4 linked regions of the Oryctolagus cuniculus genome follow. The protein of the gene in region 1 interacts with the protein of each later gene in a pairwise test. Links are inferred from orthologs where the notes say so. Each region holds a gene or a part of one and is shown on either strand. Other genes may lie near its edges.

What was found.
Region 2: the proteins of TOLLIP (region 1) and TOM1L2 interact in binary tests that used the Homo sapiens proteins (3 or more experiments, as listed by UniProt). The link is inferred for Oryctolagus cuniculus from reciprocal best matches to the Homo sapiens genes TOLLIP and TOM1L2.
Region 3: the proteins of TOLLIP (region 1) and TOM1L1 interact in binary tests that used the Homo sapiens proteins (3 or more experiments, as listed by UniProt). The link is inferred for Oryctolagus cuniculus from reciprocal best matches to the Homo sapiens genes TOLLIP and TOM1L1.
Region 4: the proteins of TOLLIP (region 1) and ODAM interact in a two-hybrid assay, tested with the Homo sapiens proteins (2 studies listed by BioGRID and IntAct). The two-hybrid records come from large-scale screens. The link is inferred for Oryctolagus cuniculus from reciprocal best matches to the Homo sapiens genes TOLLIP and ODAM.

The regions. Positions count from the first base shown.
Region 1 is NC_091432.1:2,059,311-2,064,047, forward strand, and holds part of TOLLIP (toll-interacting protein), read left to right. Parts: exon of another isoform or gene 1-2,049; intron 2,050-3,068; coding exon 3,069-3,218; intron 3,219-4,737. UniProt on the Homo sapiens protein: Component of the signaling pathway of IL-1 and Toll-like receptors. Inhibits cell activation by microbial products. Recruits IRAK1 to the IL-1 receptor complex. Inhibits IRAK1 phosphorylation and kinase activity.
Region 2 is NC_091448.1:62,676,449-62,681,875, reverse strand, and holds the start of TOM1L2 (TOM1-like protein 2), read left to right. Parts: upstream 1-1,926; 5' UTR 1,927-2,006; coding exon 2,007-2,058; intron 2,059-5,427. UniProt on the Homo sapiens protein: Acts as a MYO6/Myosin VI adapter protein that targets myosin VI to endocytic structures. May also play a role in recruiting clathrin to endosomes. May regulate growth factor-induced mitogenic signaling.
Region 3 is NC_091448.1:30,674,328-30,679,064, forward strand, and holds part of TOM1L1 (TOM1-like protein 1), read left to right. Parts: intron 1-2,861; coding exon 2,862-2,922; intron 2,923-3,287; coding exon 3,288-3,405; exon of another isoform or gene 3,406-3,503; intron 3,504-4,689; coding exon 4,690-4,737. UniProt on the Homo sapiens protein: Probable adapter protein involved in signaling pathways. Interacts with the SH2 and SH3 domains of various signaling proteins when it is phosphorylated. May promote FYN activation, possibly by disrupting intramolecular SH3-dependent interactions.
Region 4 is NC_091439.1:95,210,793-95,216,017, reverse strand, and holds the start of ODAM (odontogenic ameloblast-associated protein), read left to right. Parts: upstream 1-2,021; coding exon 2,022-2,072; intron 2,073-2,160; coding exon 2,161-2,202; intron 2,203-2,718; coding exon 2,719-2,766; intron 2,767-3,061; coding exon 3,062-3,295; intron 3,296-3,690; coding exon 3,691-3,738; intron 3,739-5,225. UniProt on the Homo sapiens protein: Tooth-associated epithelia protein that probably plays a role in odontogenesis, the complex process that results in the initiation and generation of the tooth. May be incorporated in the enamel matrix at the end of mineralization process.

The sequences.
Region 1 (4,737 bases):
GTGAGGGATTTTGTAGGATGCCCCAGTGTGGGGGATGGGGTTTGGGAAGAAGGCTGCAGAGGTGAGAGGTTCTCCCCGCGCCCCCTCACCTCAGGGGGCTGCCTCGCTGTGTCCGCTCCCCATGGCGCTGGCCGTGGTGCTGCCGGCGGCCAGCTGTCTCCTCCCAGAGAGCCCCTCCCCTTCGCACGGGGTTCACTGTTCGCATTGTTAGACTCCCTCACTTGATACTTGTAGTTTATGGTTAAATTCTTCTTGGAAAAAACACTAGGTCTTTGGACCTTTCCGAGTAATTTTATATTCCCAGTCTTCAGTGGGGGCCCGGGGGAGGGTGTGATGACAGGGGAAGCGCCACCCAGAATTCCACCCCGAAGGGGACAGGCGGGACGGGCTGTCGCCTCTCCGGAGCCTGCTCTTCAGGGCTTGCGCTGGCCTGCCTGGCCCCCCGCGGGCCCCTGCTGCAGTCTCAGGGTCTCAGGTGAGGCCGTGGGAGCTGGGCTTTTGTGCGTTAATGCCGAGAGCCCGGTTGACATTGGGTCGTCTCTGCGAGATACTCTGTTTACGTTGAGTGGAGACAGATGGCGCAGGCTGTCAGGTGTGAAGGCAGGGCCAGGTGCCCGCGGGAAGACGTCTCCATCACGGTCATTCCATGGACCCCTTCTCACGGCTTTGCCCAGGACAGCTGGCCACGTGGCACCATCTCAGGAGAGCCAGCTGCGGAGTTCCTAGGAGCTTGTGTAGGCCGGAGCTGCCGAGAGCACTCAGACGATGACAGCGGGGTGCAAGCCGGCTGTGCAGCCGTGGTCCGGGAGCCTGTAGCCAGGGCTGGGGAGCCACTTCTTTCTGCCAAACCACACAAGATCAGTTTTGTTTTTTTTTTTTTTTTGGACAGGCAGAGTGGACAGTGAGAGAGAGAGAGACAGAGAGAAAGGTCTTCCTTTGCTGTTGGTTCACCCTCCAATGGCCGCCGCGCTGCGGCCGGTGTACCGCGCTGGTCCAATGGCAGGAGCCAGGTACTTATCCTGGTCTCCCATGGGGTGCAGGGCCCAAGCACCTGGGCCATCCTCCACTGCAGTCCCTGGCCACAGCAGAGAGCTGGCCTGGAAGAGGGGCAACCGGGACAGAATCCAGCGCCCCGACCGGGACTAGAACCCGGTGTACCGGCACCGCAGGCGGAGGATTAGCCTAGTGAGCCGCGGCCCCGGCCAAGATCAGTTTAAAGGCTGGTCTGCTGTAGGTGGGCTGAATCTGGAGTTCAGCCTGCAGTGTCCTTGGCGAGGCCAGAGCCAAAGAAGGCACCGGCCTTGACAGCCTGTGGGTCACACGCTGCCCACCTCTGCTGGAACTGCTCAGTGCTCTGGGAGCCGGCGTCTCCTCCTGTGTCTGTTAGGTCTGCAACTCGGCCTGGGCTGTGCTCCCCAGGCCTGAGCTGGGACACCAGGCGAAGAGACAGACTCTCAGGGGCTCCTGAAGTGACACCCAGTGCCCTGGGGGAGGCGTGCTTTCTGGTAGTGCTTTTTTTTTTTTTTAAAAGATTGATTTATTTATTTGAAAGAGTTACACAGAGAGAGGAGAGGCAGAGAGAGAGAGAGAGAGAGAGAGAGAGGTCTTCTATCTGATGGTTCTGCTGCAACGGCTGGAGCTGCACCGATCCGAAGCCAGGAGTCAGGTCTCCCACGCGGGTGCAGGGGCCCAAGGACTTGGGTCATCCTCTACTGCTTTCCCAGTTACATTAGCAGAGAGCTGATCGGAAGAGGAGCAGCTGGGACTCGAACCAGTGCCCATATGGGATGCCGGTGCTTCAGGCCAGGGCGTTAATCCGCTGTGCCACAGTGCTGGGCCCAGCTGGTAGTGTTCTGAGCACACAATATGGAGCCCACCAGACTGAAGAACCTTCTGGAACCCTGCCTGGAGTCTTGGGGAGACCATGGTCCAGGCAGGCTCAGGGTCTGGTCTGTGGGGCAGAGGCAGTGGGGTTCTGCAGAGCCCCTGGGTGTACCGCATGCTCCTGGCCTCCGTCTGGCCGTGACACACGCCACTTACTTCCCGGCAGGCCCCTCGGCTCTGGGGCTCACGGGTCAGCAGCAGCCAGTGCCCTGAGCACAGCCCCTCCCTCCATGGTAGTTTCTTGGCCCAGAGGCCGTGACCTGTGTCACGGAGGGGCGGTCTTCCCACTGTTCACCGCGCCCGCCTGCTGAAGCCCATGCAGGCTCCTCAGGCAGTGTGGCCATCTTGAGGACCCCAACGGACCCCTGCCCTCAGCCCTCCTGCCGGGGACCCCAGACACTTGGGTCGTTTCTGGCCGCCATTGCTTTGCCGCGAGTCCCTGCAGTGTGGCCCCGGCGGCTCCTGCACCATCTCCTTTGCTTCTCTCCTGTGTGAACCGCTCCTGGGGTCACTTGCAGGCGTCCCTGCTAATCCTCGCTAAAGTCTACTCCTGAGTGTTTGGGGTCCTTCGAGTTTCTCTGGAATTCATTCCCTGGGGTGTCTTTCTCCTGCCCCAGTAGCTCCTCTGTGTCCCGCCCTCTCCCTGCTCATGGTGGGGGTGCTGGGCGGGGCCCACCTAGCCGCAGGACCCCTGAGAAGGAGGTCAGATGTCCACAGGGCTTTGTCTGGGTCTGTTTACTTCTTGTCTTCTCCTGGGACAGTTCTGCATCTGGACTGTCTCAGGTGTAGGCGTGGCTGCGCGCCAGCGCACGGGGCTCGCAGATGACCTTGGCCAAAGATCAGATCTCCTCTCGCTCCTGTCTGACCGTGCCGCGCGTTCACTGACCTTGGCTTCAGTGTGGACACGCGGAAGGGAAGCGTGTGGGCGGCAGCCTGCCAGGCCTGCCTGGGGGAGCGGAGCCTGTGTTCAGTGGCAGAGGCGGCAGAAGCTCTCCGGGCGGAGGGACGACGGCCCTTTGCTGATGGTCAGGGTGCAGGCGCTGGAAGGGCTGAGCACCGTGTGGGGCTTGGAGAGGAAATGGGTGGGGGTGGGGGCGCAGACTGGGCCCTGGGTGGAGCCCAGAGGCTGCAGTTTGCACCGGGCTCCCGGCATCTGACGCCGTCTCCCGCCCTCGCCCCGGCAGGTGTACATCGGGGAGCTCCCGCAGGACTTCCTCCGCATCACGCCCACGCAGCAGCAGCAGCAGATCCAGCTGGACGCCCAGGCCGCGCAGCAGCTGCAGTACGGAGGGGCGGTGGGCACCGTGGGCCGCCTCAGCGTCACCGTGGTGCAGGTGGGCACTGGCGGTGGGGGGGATTCCTGCTGGACAAAGGGCACCTTGCATCTGGGTGTGCCGACACTCACATATGATGCTGAGTGACGACCGATTCCGGGATTCTGCCAAAAATAACTCGAGAGTTGGGTGATAACGGTTGCTGGACGTCGGCCCTGTGCCAGACCCTGTTCTTCCACGGGGCAGCCGGGGGTGGGGGGCTCAGAGCAGCCCAGTGCTCCCTCGGCCAGCTGAGACAGCAGTGTCGTCACTGTTGTGTCCAGCGGTATCGCCGTTGCCGCCGAGCTAAGTCCTATTAAAACGAAGGCAGCTTGGCAGTCGGCGCACAGTGGGGCGTTTAAATGCCCTGCTTACAAGGCGTGCAGGCTGCCGGAGCTGCGGAGGCCAAGGGCCACTGTGTGCTGGGGGCACCGTGAAGACTGGTCACCTCAGTCCCTGACCTGCGCAGGCCCACGGGCTGCAGGTGGACTGCAACACTGAACGTGGCTCGCTCACACCAAGCGCCCTGTGAAGCCGAGCAGACGTGCAGGGCCTCGCGGGTGCAGGGGGCTTAGGGGGCCATCATCAGGGGACTCCCGCGTGCTGGCCTGGAACTTGCTGCTCACTGGAGCCCTGGGCTGCCACCTCCTGGTGGGGTGCTGCAACTGCAGGTGCTCGGGTCCGAGTGCCTGGCCGGGCTCGCAGGGGCCTCCGCGGTGCCCGCTCCCTCGAGCTCACCACAGGCTGCCTGTGTGCTATGGCGGTGCCAGGCCCTGGTTCCTGAAGAGGCCTCCTGGTCGCTTCCCCAGCGTTTCCCTTCCTTTTTGGGAACCCTTCTTCTGTCCAGGCGGCTACACGTCTCCTGGCTGCCTCCCCTGGAGGTCTCCGAGCCCCACGGCTGCCCTGAGAGCAGGTCAAGTCTGTGCCCTTCTCGTGCCCCAGGGCCTGTGAGCGTGTGCAGACCTGGCCCCTGGCGCCACCCCGTGCGGCTGGGACTCCTGCAGAGCACGGCACTCACGCCCTCCCTGGTGTCTGGTCAGCCTTTCAGACGCATGCAGCCAGGTGGCCGTGTGTCGTCTCCTCCTCGCCACCCTGTCTCAGCACAGGCCGCAGCCCGGGCCCCTTCATCTGCCCCCAACCCCATGCCCTGTCTCAGCACAGGCCGCAGCCCGGGCCCCTTCATCTGCCCCCAACCCGTGCCCTGTCTCAGCACAGGCCGCAGCCCAGGCCCCTTCATCTGCCCCCAACCCCATGCCCTGTCTGAGCCCCCCATGCCCACTCTGAGCCCCCCATGCCCACTCTGAGCCCCCGTGCCGTGTCTCAGTGCAGGCCGCAGCTCCGCTGCCTCTGTGCTCAGCTGCTAGAACAAGGCTGGGGCTGGTTGCTCCCCGCATGTTCTTCGCACGCGCCGGCAGGGAGACTCCGCAGGGCTGGGGGAAGTCAGCTGCGGTAGATGTCTGTCACTGGCCCTGGAGGGTGGAGTCATGTGGACCAGAAGCAGGTGTAGGGGAGCAGGTGGACAGGTTAGGGAGGCCAGGGC
Region 2 (5,427 bases), on another chromosome or scaffold:
ACCCATCTTTCTAAGCATGGCTCAGCTGTACCCAGGGTTCCAGACACTCTCACTGCCACCGTGCACAAGGTTTCTCACAGCTGTCCCAGGTCAGGGATGAGGCCCGAACAGCCCTGTGCTGTGGGGATACAGTCAGTAATTCACCACCCAGGCCAGGTCCCTGCCGACTTGCCTGTCAGTGGCGTCAGTGAGCCCAGAGTTAGGCGGCAGAGACAGCAGCTTCAAGTCCGACGCCGCTGCGACCTGAAGAGCCTCTTCGCCGGGAAGCAGGTGCAGCAGTTTCCTGGGAAACAGGAACCGTGGGCCAATCGGCTCTGCGACGCACAGTTCCCAGTGCCCATGAATTACTAAGGAGGGGAGCAGCCACTAACAGGGTTTGCGTGGACTCTGCGCACACGCACTATTGAATTACACACCAGCTCTGCAGGCCGGGACATGGCACAGGGTTCAGATACGCGGTGGAGGGGAAGAAGATACTTGGCCAAGGTCACACAGCGGAGTTACTAACAGGGACGACCCTGCATTCCCAGCCAAAGCCAAGGGAGAATGATCACACAGACGTGCAGAGGTTGACGATGACAGCCGGAACCTGGAGGAATGATCAGCAGACAGGAGAGCAAGCACACTGTGTATGGAAAGGTTTAAGGGGCTGGCGCTGTGGCGCAGCGGGTTAATGCCCTGGCCTGATGTGCCAGCATTTCATATGGACGCCGGTTCTAGTCCCAGCTGCTCCTCTTCTAATCCAGCTCTCTGCTACGGCCTGGGACAGCAGTGGAAGCTGGCCCAAGTCCCTGCACCAGCGTGGGAGACCTGGAAGAAGCTCCTGGCTCCTGGCTTCAGATTGGTGCAGCTCTGGCTGTTGTGGTCATTTGGGGAGTGGGCCAGTGAAGGGGAGACCTCTCTCTGGCTCTACCTCTAACTCTTTCAAAGAAATAAAATAAATCTTAAAAAAAAAAATCTTTTCTGGCCCTGCGCCCTTACCCTCTCCTTCCTCACCCACAGAAAGCCCAAGACTAAGTGTTGTGGCTGGCTGAAGCCAGCGTCAGGTGGCTGTCCCAGGAGCCGTGAGCTCACTTCGCAGAGGTGGGCGTGGGATTCGGCAGCCCTTAGGACACCGCTGGGGCACCCACGTCTCGTGCTGGGGTGCCGGGGTTCGAGTCCCGGGAGCTCCTGGCTCCCGCTTCCTGCCAACAATGCACACCTGGGAAGGGGTGGGTGCCGGCTCAAGTGCTCACGGCCCCACCGCCCACGCGGGAGACCTGGGCTTTTGAGGTTATCTGGGGAGCACACTAGTGGACCGACCTCTCTCCCCGCTGTCCGCCCCGGGTCTCCTCTCCTCTCCTCTCCTCTCAGGCGCCGGCTTCCGGGCTGGGTCTGCGAAGCAACAGCGTCCCCCGGTTGCTAGGGAACCAAGCGCCGCCGCTCGGTCGCTAAGGGGAAGTTAAGAGGTAGACATCCTGGGTGAAAGTGGACGCATCACGTGATCAGTTCTCGGGGCGGGGAAATCCTACCACACCAACCAGGCTTAGAGAAAACAAACGTTTACCCAATCAGCACTTTCTGTGGGCGGGGATCTTCGTAGATCCACCTCCTCGCCTTGCCCCTATTTAAGTGATTGACTCGTCTTTATCCAATAATACTAAGGATTCTCTAGCTTGACCGATATATGGACGAATCAACACGCAAAGCCTCTCTTTAGGAGGCGGGCCAGGGGAGGTGCCGCTACGCCTGACGGGGACTCCAGCGACCTAGCTCGCTCTCCGGCCAATCGGACGCCGCGGGGTGGGTGGGAGCTTCACTGAGGTAGAGGCGAAGGCCAATCGGATGAGGGCTGTGTAGGCGTTGCCCAATAGAGACGCGACAAGGGGGCGTGGTCAAGGGCCCGGGGCTCGGCGTTCCTGAGGGTGGGGCGGGGGCAAGTGTCAGGTCGGGACCGCGGCTGGGGACGGCGGAGACCCGGGCGGGCAGACTGGACGCCCCGTCCGCCGCCGCGCTTTCCGTGCAAGATGGAGTTCCTCCTGGGGAATCCGTTCAGCACGCCGGTGGGGCAGTGCCTCGGTAAGGCCCCGCGAGCGGCGAGCGGCGAGCGGCGAGCGGCGAGCGCCGGGGTGGGTGACGGCGGCGGCTGTCGAGGCTGGTGCGGACCGCGCGGGCCGCTGCCGGCTGAGGGTCCCCCGCCTCCAGCCCCGCAGCATCTGTTGGCGTCGCGCCTGGGCCGGGCAGCGGGGCCAGCTCACGGGACGGGTCCGGCATCCTGGTCGCCAGGCCTCCGCTGGGCAGCGGGATGCCCTGCCAGGAGGCGCCCCTGGGGCCCAGCTCGTACTCTTGCGAGACTTCCAGCGGCCCTAGCCATCCGGGCCGGCCCTCCCTGTCCCCTCGAGGTGGTGCTACGCTGAGCACCCTCTTCCACCCTGCCGGCCTCGCGGCCCTGTTTCCCCCCACCCCGCCAGGACCCGCTCACCCGGCCGTCCCGGACGCCTGTCCCTCCCCGTCAGTACCAGCAGCCCTCAGACTGGGCGTCTCCCCAGAAAATGCCCCAGGTTGCAAGACTCGCTCGTTGGCGAGGCGACTCAGCCGAGCTGTCGAGGGGGTCGTGGTGGGGCGGGGTGTTGGAGGGTGGCGGGGCGCTGTGGGGGCGGGGTGCCATTCCGGACTGAGCGTCCCGGGAAAGATGGGAGACTGTGCAAGTGAGTGATAAGAGCCTGGAGCGGGCACAGTGGCCTTGTGCCCCCTCTGAGTTGAAGTTCCGCTGTGAGTGTTTGGAGGGAGAGAGCTGGTGAGGCGTTTGGGGCGGTCCCGTTGTGGAGTTGTGATCCTAATAGCAGCTGCATGGTGAACAGGTTGCTAATACCCCCACCCCACCCCCCCACCCCCCGCTCTGCTCCGTTTTATTTGCCAAAGCTGAGATCTGGTGGTGCCCGGCCCGGCATTGCCTGCTGGCGTTCTCAGGGTTGGGGGTGGGGCTCTGGCCACCTGGGAAATGGCCGCAGAGATGAGCAGCATCGTGGGTGTGGGAGGAAGCACTCCGGCGTGGCCACCGTGTGGGATTCCCTGAACTGGAAAAGCAGTTGCTTTCCCACCTGGGGCAGGTGCTAGCGACGGGCGTGACCCCTCAAGAATGCTGCCTCGCGCCTTTGACCATCTTAGTTGGAGGACTCGTAAGACATCTTTAGGAACGGGAGGAGCCTTTGCTGGCCCAGGGGCCCGACCGGTTTAGGCCGTGGCGATTTGTTCACTTCCTGCTTTGCGTACCGATTTCCCACCACTTTTCAGCCTTTCGTGGGCCCTGGCAAGTTCCGAGGCCTCTCCTGTTGGCTAACAGGCATTCAGGACGCCTTCCTGGTGTAGTAGCTTTTTATTTTTTTTTTTAATTAAAGATCGTGTTTATTTATTTGAGAGGTAGAGCTACAGACAGAGGGAGTTAGACACAGAGAGAGGTCTTCCGTCCACTGGTTCATTCCCCAAATTGTTGCAACGGCCGGAGCTGCGCCGATCCAGAGCCAGGAGCTTCTTCTGGGTCTCCTGCGCAGGTGCAGGGATGCAAGCACTTGGGCCGTCTTCTACTGCTTTCCCAGGCCACAGCAGAGAGCTGGATGGGAAGTGGAGCAGCCAGGACTTGAACTGGTGCCCATGTGGGATGCCTCTGCCTGTGGCGCCACAGCACCAGCCCCAGTGTAGTGGTTTTTATAAAGGGTCATGGACACTGGGCCCCGAAGTCTCTTTTGCCACCTTGATGGGGTTCTGCTGCCGGCTCAGGTGTCTCTCTGGGCCCGCCCCTTCCGTTCTTCCTCCCATCTTCCCTGCTTCCCGGTGGGGCCGTCCACTGCAGCCGCGTCCCATTTCTTACTGGTGCCGCCCTCCTGCTAGTTACAGAGGAGCCTGTAAGCTTGGGGTGGGTTTCTGCTTTTCCCTTCTTCTCCGCACCCTTTATTATAGAAAGTTCTACATCTTTAACATGTAGGGTAATCGGTGAGGCGGGGAAATCAAAGGGGATTTAAGAAATCACAAATAGGATGTTGGGATATGTGTCAAGTACAAGGAACGTCATACTTAGGTCAGGAAGGACCTGAGTTGAATGTTGGGTGGGCCCATTTCTCAGCTCTGGGACCCCAGGAAATGGTGTGAGCTTTTGACTGTGTATCTGCTAAGAAAGACAGAGAGAGAGAGAGAGCGAGCGAGCGAGCACGCGCCATCCGGAGTGGCACTGTTTCAATAGCATAATGTGTGTAATACATTGAGCATAGCGCCTACAACATAGCAGAGGTTCAGTAAATCTGACCGTCAGCGTGAGTAACAGAATCATTCAGTTAGGCTTGGATTGCTCTCCTGGAGAGGGTACGAGAGACCAGTGGCCCATCCGTGACCCGTGAAGGAAACTGGCCCTCCCAGCCAGCACCGTCCACCGTCGCTTGTCAGAGACACCTGACCGGAAAGATGATGGAGGCTCCCGTTGCCAGGCAACCAGTAGGCAGAGCTGTCATCATCATAGTTCAAGTTAGTTGATGCAGGGTGAGGGGACAGATAAGGTGCTAATACGTATGCTGCACTGTGGTGACCAAGCATAAAGGTGATCTTAAAAGTATGCTCCCTGAAGGGTCGGAGGCTGGGAGAGGGCGGCCCGCAGAAATAAACATAATGGCAACAAACTAATAACTGCAACAGTGGCTGTAGCTTCCACAGAGCAGTTCGAATAGCCATCTTTTTAAAGCATAACTTAGTAATCTGGTTGGTTTATTTTCAATTCTTTGTTTTGTTTTTTTTTTAAACTTTACTTACTTGAGTGACCGAGACCCAGTGAGACAGATTGAAAGATGGAGAGCCCCATGTCAGCTGTTCACGCCACAGATGCCCACAAGAGCCAGGCCTGGGCCAGGAACTCAATCCAGGTCTCCCTCATGGGTGGCAGAAGTTTAGTCATCTGAGCCATCGCCGCTGCCTCCCAAGGGCCGCCTTGGCAGGAGGTTGGAGCTGGCGCCAAACCCAGCCCCTCCCAGGTGGGACGCCGGTCTGTCTACCTCCAGGTTAAGCACCTGCTGTCGACACTGTGCCTTGACCTTAGAGCTGTTGTGAGATTAAGCTTCATCGTCCTTTCTGCTTTGGACTCGAGAACCCTAGGAACAGGGGGTGGAAACGACCGCTCAGCCCGTAAAAAGTGGACCAGGATCTCACACCCATCCCGTCCCCCAGGGCTGCAGGGTTTCAGGAGAGAAAACAGACATGCGTGGAGCAACCATGGCAATGCAGATCCTAAGGGCCACCGGCATTCAGGAGCTGCTGGGGACTGTCCACGAACTCTGCAGGCTAAGAGGAGATCCGGCGGGCCTGGGATGGCACCCGGGGGCAGGAGGGGCCCCCAGTCTGAGTGGAGCCGCAATGGCTGCAGGGCCTGGGTCGCATGGGGGAAGATCTGCTCTTGTGGGGGGCAGG
Region 3 (4,737 bases), on another chromosome or scaffold:
ATATTTCATTAATCCATTTAATTTATTGACTTGTTTTTATCTATTCATTATGAATGAAACAGGAGAATCATTGAAATGAAGTCAGTGGCTATTCAATGGTAGTTTGTTTTCTTCCCTGTATTATATTTACTGCCTATTAGGGATAGCTGCCGTTCATCGGAAACAATGACAAGGCATTGACTGATGGCGTGAGCCCAGTGGCCAGAAACCACCAAATGAATGCACAGCCCTTGCCCTTTGTTTTCTGTGATATATATCTTTGTAAGCAGAAAGATATCCAAGGAAAATTCCCACATGATTTTCAGTTCAGTGCTGCCTTCTGGTTTTCATTTTGGAGAATTCTGTTGAAAACCGTAAGACCGCTGCCTCAAGACTTCCCCTGAGGGGGAATATGTACTTATGTGGCCTAACTATCAGAGCATTGGATGACTTCTGTGAACAGCTCACTCTGATTCAGCTTGGAGCATGTGTACCAAAGTGACAGCAGGAAATCACGTGATTCAAATGCTCACGTCTAGAATTCAGAGACAAAGTCTTGCTTCTAGAGAAGGTGCTAGTCTGGTGTTTCAGTCTTCTGTGATTGTTATGGCAAATGACTGCAAACCTAGTGGCTTAAAACAACACAAATTTATTATTACAAGATGATAAATTACTAAGTTTCATGAATCAGGAGTCAGGGTAACACTGGCCTAAATTCGAAGTACCCATAGTGCTGAATCTTTTGGGGCCTCTGGTGGAGAATTTACCCTTTTAACATTTACATTTCCAGAGACTGCCTATTTTCCTTGGCTCCTGTCCCCTGTCTTTCATCTTCAAAGCCAGCAATGTCTAGTAGTTCTTTGTCCACTGTATCACTCTTGCTTCTCCCTCTACTTCTCTCTTCTGTATTTAAGGATATTTTTGACTACATTGGGCTGATCTGTACAGTCTAAGATAATCCTCCCACTCAAGTTCAGCACACTAGCCAACTTCACTTTGTTTACAACATTTATTTCCCCCTTTCCCATGTACCCTGACGCATGCACTGGCTCTGCCCACTAGAATGTGAAGGGGCCATTTTTCTGCCTATCAGAATCTGCCCTCTGGCCCCAAAAGATTCACATGCATCCCACTTGCAAAACACGTTCCCCTATTCCGTCATTCCCGGAAGTTTTCACTCATCTTATCAAGGAAGTAGTGCAAATAAGAAAGTTGAAGTTTGGTAATTCTAGGCTTTATCTGGGAATGCTGTTCATACCCAGCACATAACTGATTGACATGCAAGAAGTCAATGCTATAAGTAGTTGGAATTTCAGAACATGTGTTTTGTGATAATCCTTAAGCCTGATGCATGTTCAGATTCAGTATAAGCATTTAGACTTTAGGGTTTAAGCTTATGGTGTCAATATGTCGTAATAGTAATACTTGCAATAGATTTCTGAAGGCAACTCAATTTTCAAAGCATTCCCACATTCATCTGTTTTAATAGTAATATACTGTCCAATAATAGTTCATTATCTGTCTATACTTGCCCCTAAAAATAACTTCCTAAGGAAATGATTCCAGTGTTATTCCTTTTTAGCAGATAGAGAGCTGAGTTCGGGAAGTCATACCCCTGGTTATGTAGCTAATAGGTAGTAATGCTGACCTTGAACTTCTGTCTTAGACTTCACTAGTGTTTTACATCTATACTGTTTAACAGTTCCTCTTTTACCTCAGCGGTTAAGTGACGAAAAAAAGAGTAAAAGATCAATATTCTGAAGGTATCAGAGTCTAGAAGAATAAAGAAAACAGGCTGGCTTTGTAGCATAGCAGATTAAGCCACCACCTGTAGCACCAGCATCCCATATAGGCGCTGGTTCGTGTCCTGGCTGCTCCATTTCTGATCCAGCTCCCTGCTAATGTGCCTAGAAAAGCAATGGAAGATGGCCCAAGTGCTTGGACCCCTACCACTCATGTGTTAGATCGGGAAGAAGCTCCTGGATCTCTCTCTTTCCCACTCTCTCTATAACTCCGCCTTTCAAATAAAATAAAACTTAAAAAAAGAAGAATGAGGATAAACAATAAAAATATTGTATTTTAATTTTTATGGAAAATTATGATGGCAAAGTCAAAAACAACTGAAGTAACTGGTTGAAGTTGTTATAGATTCATGAGGTAAATATTAAAATTATACTTCTCATTAAGTAGAAAAGTGTAACATATTGATATCAGGATACAGAATTATGTAAAGCTTAATTTCAACTAAGTTTTAAAATAGATTCATTTATAGAAGAAACACTGGGGCTGGCACTGTGGTGCAATAGGTTAATCCTCTGCCTACAGCCCCGGCATCCCATATGGGCACCGGTTCTAGTCCTGGCTGCTCCTCTTCCAATCCAGCACTCTGCTATGGCCTGGGAAAGCAGTAGAAGATGGCCCAAGTGCATGGGCCCCTGCACCTACATGGGAGACTCGGAAGAAGCTCCTGACTCTTGGCTTCAGATCAGCTCAGCTCCGGCTGTTGTATCCATTTGGGGAGTGAACCAGCGGATGGAAAACCGCTCTCTCTCTCTCTCTCTCTCTCTCTCTCTCTGTTTTGCCCTCTCACTGTCTGTAACTCTACCTCTCAAATAAATAAAACCTTAAAAAAAGAAAGAAAAATTACATCTTAATAGTGTTAATTTCTGGCTGATGGGATTATTAATTTTTCAAAAATATTTTTAGTTTTCTATAAGTATTAACACTCAAAATTGGGAGAAAATTATTAAAAGTATTTTACTGGGAATTAAATGATAGGCTAATTATTTCATTCTTAAATATTTGCATACTAATAATTGCTAAATTTTGTGACATTTTCATATCTTTGTATTTAAATACTTTTATTTTGCTAATGCCAACAGGTTTACTCGAAATCAGCAAAGGATTTTAGAGCAAAATAGAAACCAGGAGGAAGCCACCAATGTAAGTGATTAGAAATGTTATAAATGTTCGTATCACATATGTAAGAAGCAAGGCTACCCTAAAACAGTTTTCAGCAGAGAAATGCATTGACATTTTGATGTGATTTTGGTGGTAAAGAGTATCTGCTGTAAAAACTCAATGTTACTAAGTTTTTGTTCAGAGGTCATAAGATTCCTGAGTATGGAAGCCAAGTAGGTAGTGAGATGAGGTTTAGTTTATTATTGACTGTTGAATGAAGACTGCTTCCTCAGAATGCATCCTAGTAACAGTCTTCCTGTCTACAATTAAAGGCCATAGTGAAAAAGCCACTATCGACCACCTGACATGTGTTCTCCAAGTTCTGTTTTTGTTTGCTCTGTTTGCAGGCTACCAGTGAGCCTTCCGCTCCATCTTGTGATCTCCTGGACCTCAGTCCCAGTCCCCCGATGCCTGGGGCCCCTCTGGGAGAACTCAACACCGTGAACGCTCAGCTTTCAGACTTAAGTAAATAAGCACTTGGGCCTTTTCAGACCAGCAGAAGAACTTGATGTGAAGCATTTCTCCTTGGTCTCATGATTAAATGCCGTCTGAGAAGGACTGAAGTCAGTTTGACCAGAGTACTATAACAGGAGATGTAATTACTTGTTAGCATATGGTTGGGTTGAAGCAGGTGCAGGGATGGGACATTTCTGGGATAGCAGGTCCTTGGAGCTCATCCTACTGGCTTAGAGCCTCAGGAATTCAGCTGGCTTGCTTTGTTGAGTTTGGTGGCCAGTACTCTTAAGTCTACTCTGAACTCATACACTTTTATCATTGTTTTTTTCTACTGTGCCATGGCATCAGGTAAGGAAATCTTTGATGCAGGTGAACACATTGAGGATTTTAAAGGCATGATCGATGTGCGGGTGAAATGTAAGGTGGAAAAATGCCAGCTTTAGAGCTAATGAAGTTCCAGTTGACGTCTTCTGAGCCCCCTAACCTCTGAGACTTTCTTACCTTATAAAAGGGGAACCATGGTTGTTGTAGAGTTTATATGAAAGTAAATGAAGTAGTTAAAAATGCATTGCAGGTTAGGCATCACCTATATTATCTAATTTACTGGTTACCTTCTACTATCCTTATTCCTAAGAACAATTAGCAAATTACAAAACGAGGATAGAGGATAGTAGAAAATGGTGAGATCCAGCAGTTTAACAAAATTGAAAACAGTTTGCTTTTCTCTCATCATCTCTTGTTATCTGCTGTTTCCAGAGTAAAATACGACCCTGCACTAGAGATTTTCTGATGGCCAGGTTCCCTAGTTCTAAAATACTGCCTAGTTGCTTATGTGGGCCAGTGGTGTGGGTAGAATCACTTACATTATAGTTTCCTTAGATGTTAGGAATTTTCAGAGGGAAGAAATAGCATTCCCATAGCTGTGTTTCATTTCAGATTATGGGAAGTTAATAGCTTCTAGGTGAGGACAGAACCCTGTCTGTACCATAAATTTTTACCCTTGGCTGGGCAGGACAAGGCATGTTAAATCCTTCCCACTGTGGATCAGCTTGGAATTTCAGAAAACCCAGAACAGTGCTGTTTATCAGGAAATGTCTTTTACTTTCTCCCTAACTGCTACAAATGATACTTTTCAATTTCCTTTAGAGGAAATCTCATGATTTTATGGTGACAGAAATATTTACATTCATGTCTTTAAATTTGGCTTTTTGTTTGCCTTTTGTTGTTGAAAATCCAGCCTAACAGCTGACTGAACAGTGTTTGAAATCCAAGCAAGTCCATTTTATGTTCTAGGTCTCAACTTTGTAAATCCTGCTGTAACAAACAACTTGAAACCCAGTT
Region 4 (5,225 bases), on another chromosome or scaffold:
TTTTTTTAAAACATTTATTTATTTGAAAGGCAGAGTTACAGAGTGGCAGAGGCAGAAGAGAGAGAGAGAGAGAGAGAGAGAGAGAGAAATCTTCCATCCATTGGTTTACTCCCCAAACGGCCACAAGAGCCAGAGCTGGAGCAATCTAAAGCCAGGAGTGAGGAGCTTCTTCCAGATCTCCCATGTGGTTGCAGGGGCCCAGAACTTGGGCCATCTTCTACTGCTTTCCCAGGCCATAGCAGAGAACTGGATCTGAAGTGGAGCAGTCAGGACCGAACCTGCACCCATTTGGGATGCTGCCACTGCAGGTAGCAGCTTTACCTGCTATGCCACAGCACCCTGAGAGCTTTTTATTTAGAGGAGGCTTTAAGCCTTTTCTACAATGTAAATTAAAAATATTTTATCTCAACAAATAAAATATATACAAATTTATACTATATATTATATAAAATAATGCATACAATACATAGCATATATTTATATGTATAAACATATACAGATATAGACTATATAATGTATATAAATGTATACATTTTAAATATGCCACTTGGAATGCCTGTATCTCATATTGGAGTGCCTGGATTCAAGTCCCAGCTCAACTTCTAATTTCAACTTCCTGCTAATGCATATTCAGGGAAGCAGTAAGTGATGGACCAAGTAGTTGGGTCCCTTCATCCATATGAGAGATTTGGGTTGAGTTCCTGGCACCCAGCTTCAGCCTGGCCTAGTCTTGGCCATATTGGCATTTAAGGAATGAATTACAAAATGGGATTTGTCTCTGTATTTCTCTCTCTGTGTCCTTCTCTTCCTCTCTCCCTTTCTCCCACTCTCTCCAGACTCTGTGTGTCTAAAATTTATAATATAAACATATATATTTTTTAAAACAAGAAAAGAAGGATCAAGCATTGTGGCACACTGGATTAAGCCACCACTGTGATGCCAGCATCCCATATTGGATCACCAGTTTGACTATTGGCTGCTCTGCTTCCAATCCAGTTCCTTGCTAATACACCTGGGAAAGCAGCAGAGGATGACCCAAATACTTGAGACCCTGCCATCCACATGAGATCCCTGGATGGAATTCCTGGCTCCTAGCTTTGGCTTTTCCCAGCTCTGGCCATTGCACCATTTGGAGAGTAAACCAGTAGATGGCAGATCTCTTTCTGTCTCTGAATCTGTCCCCCACCACCCTGCCTTACAAGTAAAAAAACTTTAAGAAATAATGAAAAAAGACAAATATTGTCTCAACTGCTTAGTTTTAATAAATTTTTAATGTTAGACAACTATTGTTTTTCAACATAGAAATAAAATTGTTTAGCAATAAGGACCCAATTGGTTGAACATAGTTAAGGGTATCCCATTGTCTGAAGGGCCTTCTTTCAATCTAGAGTAGCAAAAAGATGAGATCATCTTGCTCATTCATGCTTTCAGTTAGATCATATGCCACCACGTGAGCCTTTTAGTCAGTCTAAAAGGACAAGTAATTTCAGGTTCTATAAATATCTAAGAGAAAATACAAGTTCTGTTACAGACACATAAAAATAAATTTAAATTTTAAATCTTCAAATAAGAGTAAATACTGAAGTATTCATCCAACTGCTCTGAACAATACCAACTAACTTTTGTCATGATTTTCAAGAGGAGAGACTCTTTCAAGCTAAGAATCTTAACCTAGCAGTTAAGACACCAGTTAGGAGGCCCACTGCCTGCATTACAATACCTTCATTTGCTATCTGGGTGCAGCTCCTAAGCAAGCTTCCTGCTAATGCCCAACTGTAGGAGGTAACAGTAGTGACTCAGGTGATTGGGATCCTGCCCACCCTCTTGGGAGACCTGAACTTCATTTTTTAATTATCTATCCCCGCTTTGACTTGGCCCTTGCAGGTATTCAGGAAATGGACCAGGAGGTGAGTGTTCTCTGTGTCTGTCTATATACCTCTATCTCTCTAATAAATAAATATTTAACAAAATATTTGATAAGAAAAGAATCACAATTTATTTTCTAGATATTTCATCTGAAAATGAAAATTCTAGCTCTTCTTGGACTTCTGGGAACTACATTATCAGCCCCAGTAAGTAATTTGATGCTACTACTGATCTTACCAAGTAAAATCTACAATTCCTTTGTTTAACATTTCTATTTTTCCTTTTTTGTTTTAGCTTATCCCACAACGTCTTTTGTCTGCTAGCAACAGCAATGAGGTAAGTTTAAATAATTAATGCGATCTCTAGTGAAAAGAGACAATAGCCTTCAATAATCTTGCATCCCACCTACTACTCTTATGTATACCTAAATTTCCAATTTTCACATTAGCTTTTCATACCAGATTACTACTAGTGTAGTATAATGCCTCCCTTGCTTGATTACAAATTCTTCAAAGGCAGAGATAATTACCTTTTCCCTCCTTTTGTTCTAATAGCACCTACTACAAGTGTCTATATCTGTTTAGAAGGACAAAATAACTAATTAAAACACGGGAATGTGCTAACGTTGTGCAATATCACACATAGCATGGAGATATTGTTAAATCCCAACCTTGTTTTTAACTGTAACCTTTAATCACTATAATTTACTGTAAGCTTAGTGAGAAAATGTCTCACTTCTAACAGGAAACTGATCAGTCAGCTTCAACTTGTGTCATATTTGTAGTAAACATTATTCTTAATCATTTTAGCGTGTGCAGTAATCTTGTTTTCACGTTATGTTTCCTTTTCTAGTTACTTCTGAAACTTAACAATGCCCAACTTTTGCCACTGCAGCTCCAGGTACCTCAACCTCAATAATTAAGGAAAAATTTTTTCCACTGCTCGTTTCTTGTGTTATTCTTTACAACAACAGCAACAAAGTGTATTCTGATTCCATTTCTGAAACACATCAATGGGAACTCAGCCATGTTTCATACTATTTATATGGCTCACAGGAGTCAGGATGCTTTTTATAATGCAGCATGAAAAACACAAAACTTGTTACATTTTGTCTCTTTCTTGCTCAAAATTGATGTTAAAATCTTTTTGACATGAAAGAGAAAGGCTTTCTTTTTTTTCCTGTGTGTCCTTGCAGGGCCCATTCAATTCATGGATTCCTCCTCTCTCTGGTGTTCTTCAACAGCAGCAGCAGGCTCAAATTCCAGGACTCCCTCAGTTCTCCTTACCAACTCTGGACCGGTTTGTTGGATTGCTCCCCAGTCAGATGCCTTTCTCAGGACAGGCCAGTTTTACCCAAGGAGCCCAGGCAAACCCAATGGATCCCTCACAGCCTCAACCTCCACCACAGACCCAACAGGGCCCTAATCACGTAAGTTAGTTCTCCATTTGAGGAGAAAGAATTGCATATTTAATGTGAAAAAGAATAGGAATGAGCTTTGAATTAAGACAAGCACCACTGAATAATATTGCTTTTTATATCTCTACCATTTCTTAAACTCTTTTTTTACATTTAATATGAAAGATAATGTTCAAATCAACTATCCTAGTATACAACCACAAATTAAAAGAGCTAAAAGAAGTTTCAGGAAAATTCCATCTTAAAAACAAAGAATCGGTATTAATGTTAGTATGTGTAATAGATGATCTTTTACTGTGCAAGCCTGCTAATACATATGATACATTTATACGGCAGCTCTGTAGCTCAGGGATTTTAAACAATAAAGTCACATATACAATTTTTATCATATTCTCTTTCATTGGCAGGTGATGCCTTATGTAGTCTCCTTCAAAATGCCTCAAGAGCAAGCACAGGTAACTGAAAAGCATGTTGGTATTCACAGAGAAAGATGGCCACAGACACCCTCCAGAAGTCTTTCCTCTGTGTTTCTAGCTCTGAATCCTACGGCAAGGCTTAAAACTAAAAATAAAGATAAATCTATACAGTCATGTCATTGTCTGGATGCCACAACATCAGGCTGACATCGGTTTGTAGATGTAGGATTAGCTTTTTATGAACAGGCAGCCAAGGAGGGTCTCCAGGAAAAACACATGAAACTGATAGTATATGTTATGATATAGAGATAAGAAACATTTATCTATGTAATTTTGGTAGTTATAAAATTCTGCTAAAAACATTTCCAGTTTCTTGTATACAGTGTTTCCAATTTAATTACATATTATAATCAAATGATGATGATTTTCATTAAATAAGAAAATCTTGAAAAATTAAGGCAAACTAATAAAATTGTGTTAATAAGGAAAATGACTAATATCAAGATAATTTATACTATTTTAGGCTCAAAGAAGCAAGGATATAGATATGGTATTCAACAGCAGATTATTGACCTTTTCATTAAAAAATCACACCAGTTAGCTTTACTGTAATCCTAATCACATAATGTTGTCTCATTCTCATCACCAAACAAGTTACTTCTAGATATGGCCATAAGCATTTAAGGAGTTATATGTATGAAAAATAGAATCACTTCACTTTAAGAAGCAGGAAACTTAGCCTTAATAAGATTAAATTTATAATCATAATGAAGAAAATAGCTAAGCTGGAATATAAGTCTCAACCCTTTTTTTTTTAACCACTAAACCAGTGACTCTCTACCTTGGCTTAACATCTAAATCTCTTTGGTAATGTTGGAAATTACAAATGCTTGTACCCTACTCTGAGTCTAATGAATCAAAACCCCGTGAGTCGATGACAACTACGATCATCTTCTAAAATGCTCAATAGGTGATTTTTGCTCTTAGCCAGGATTAAGAACCACTGCACAATATCCACCCCCTTAACCAAGTTGGTCTTTATTTTTTATCTCTTGAGTCTAATATAATCTCTTACATAATGATACAAACAAAAACTGCAATGTAAATACAGTGATCCTCATTTTCTATAAAGACTTGCGTATGTAAATACTTGCAGGCATTTATTAGGGAGCCAATGCATGATAATAAGACTGGTAAAGTTGCAGATGATTTTGTTACTTGTCTATTTCTTGATTTTCCTAATATTCTAAAATGCTTATGGATTACTTTAGTAAAGTATAAATCATTAATTTTTAATAACTTTAAAAGAATGAATGCATTTTTAAAAATTCATTATGCTGGGAATTCTAATGCCATGTCTTACAGGTAATGATCCTGAAAACTATAGGTAAAATGCTACATAGGCTATAGAGGCTCTTAGGTATTTACAGTGACTTTCATATACAATTTCCAATATGTTTCTTAAGGCAAGAAAAAAAACTCCTGTTATTTAGTTGGACCCACTATTGTCTAAACTGTTTGATCAA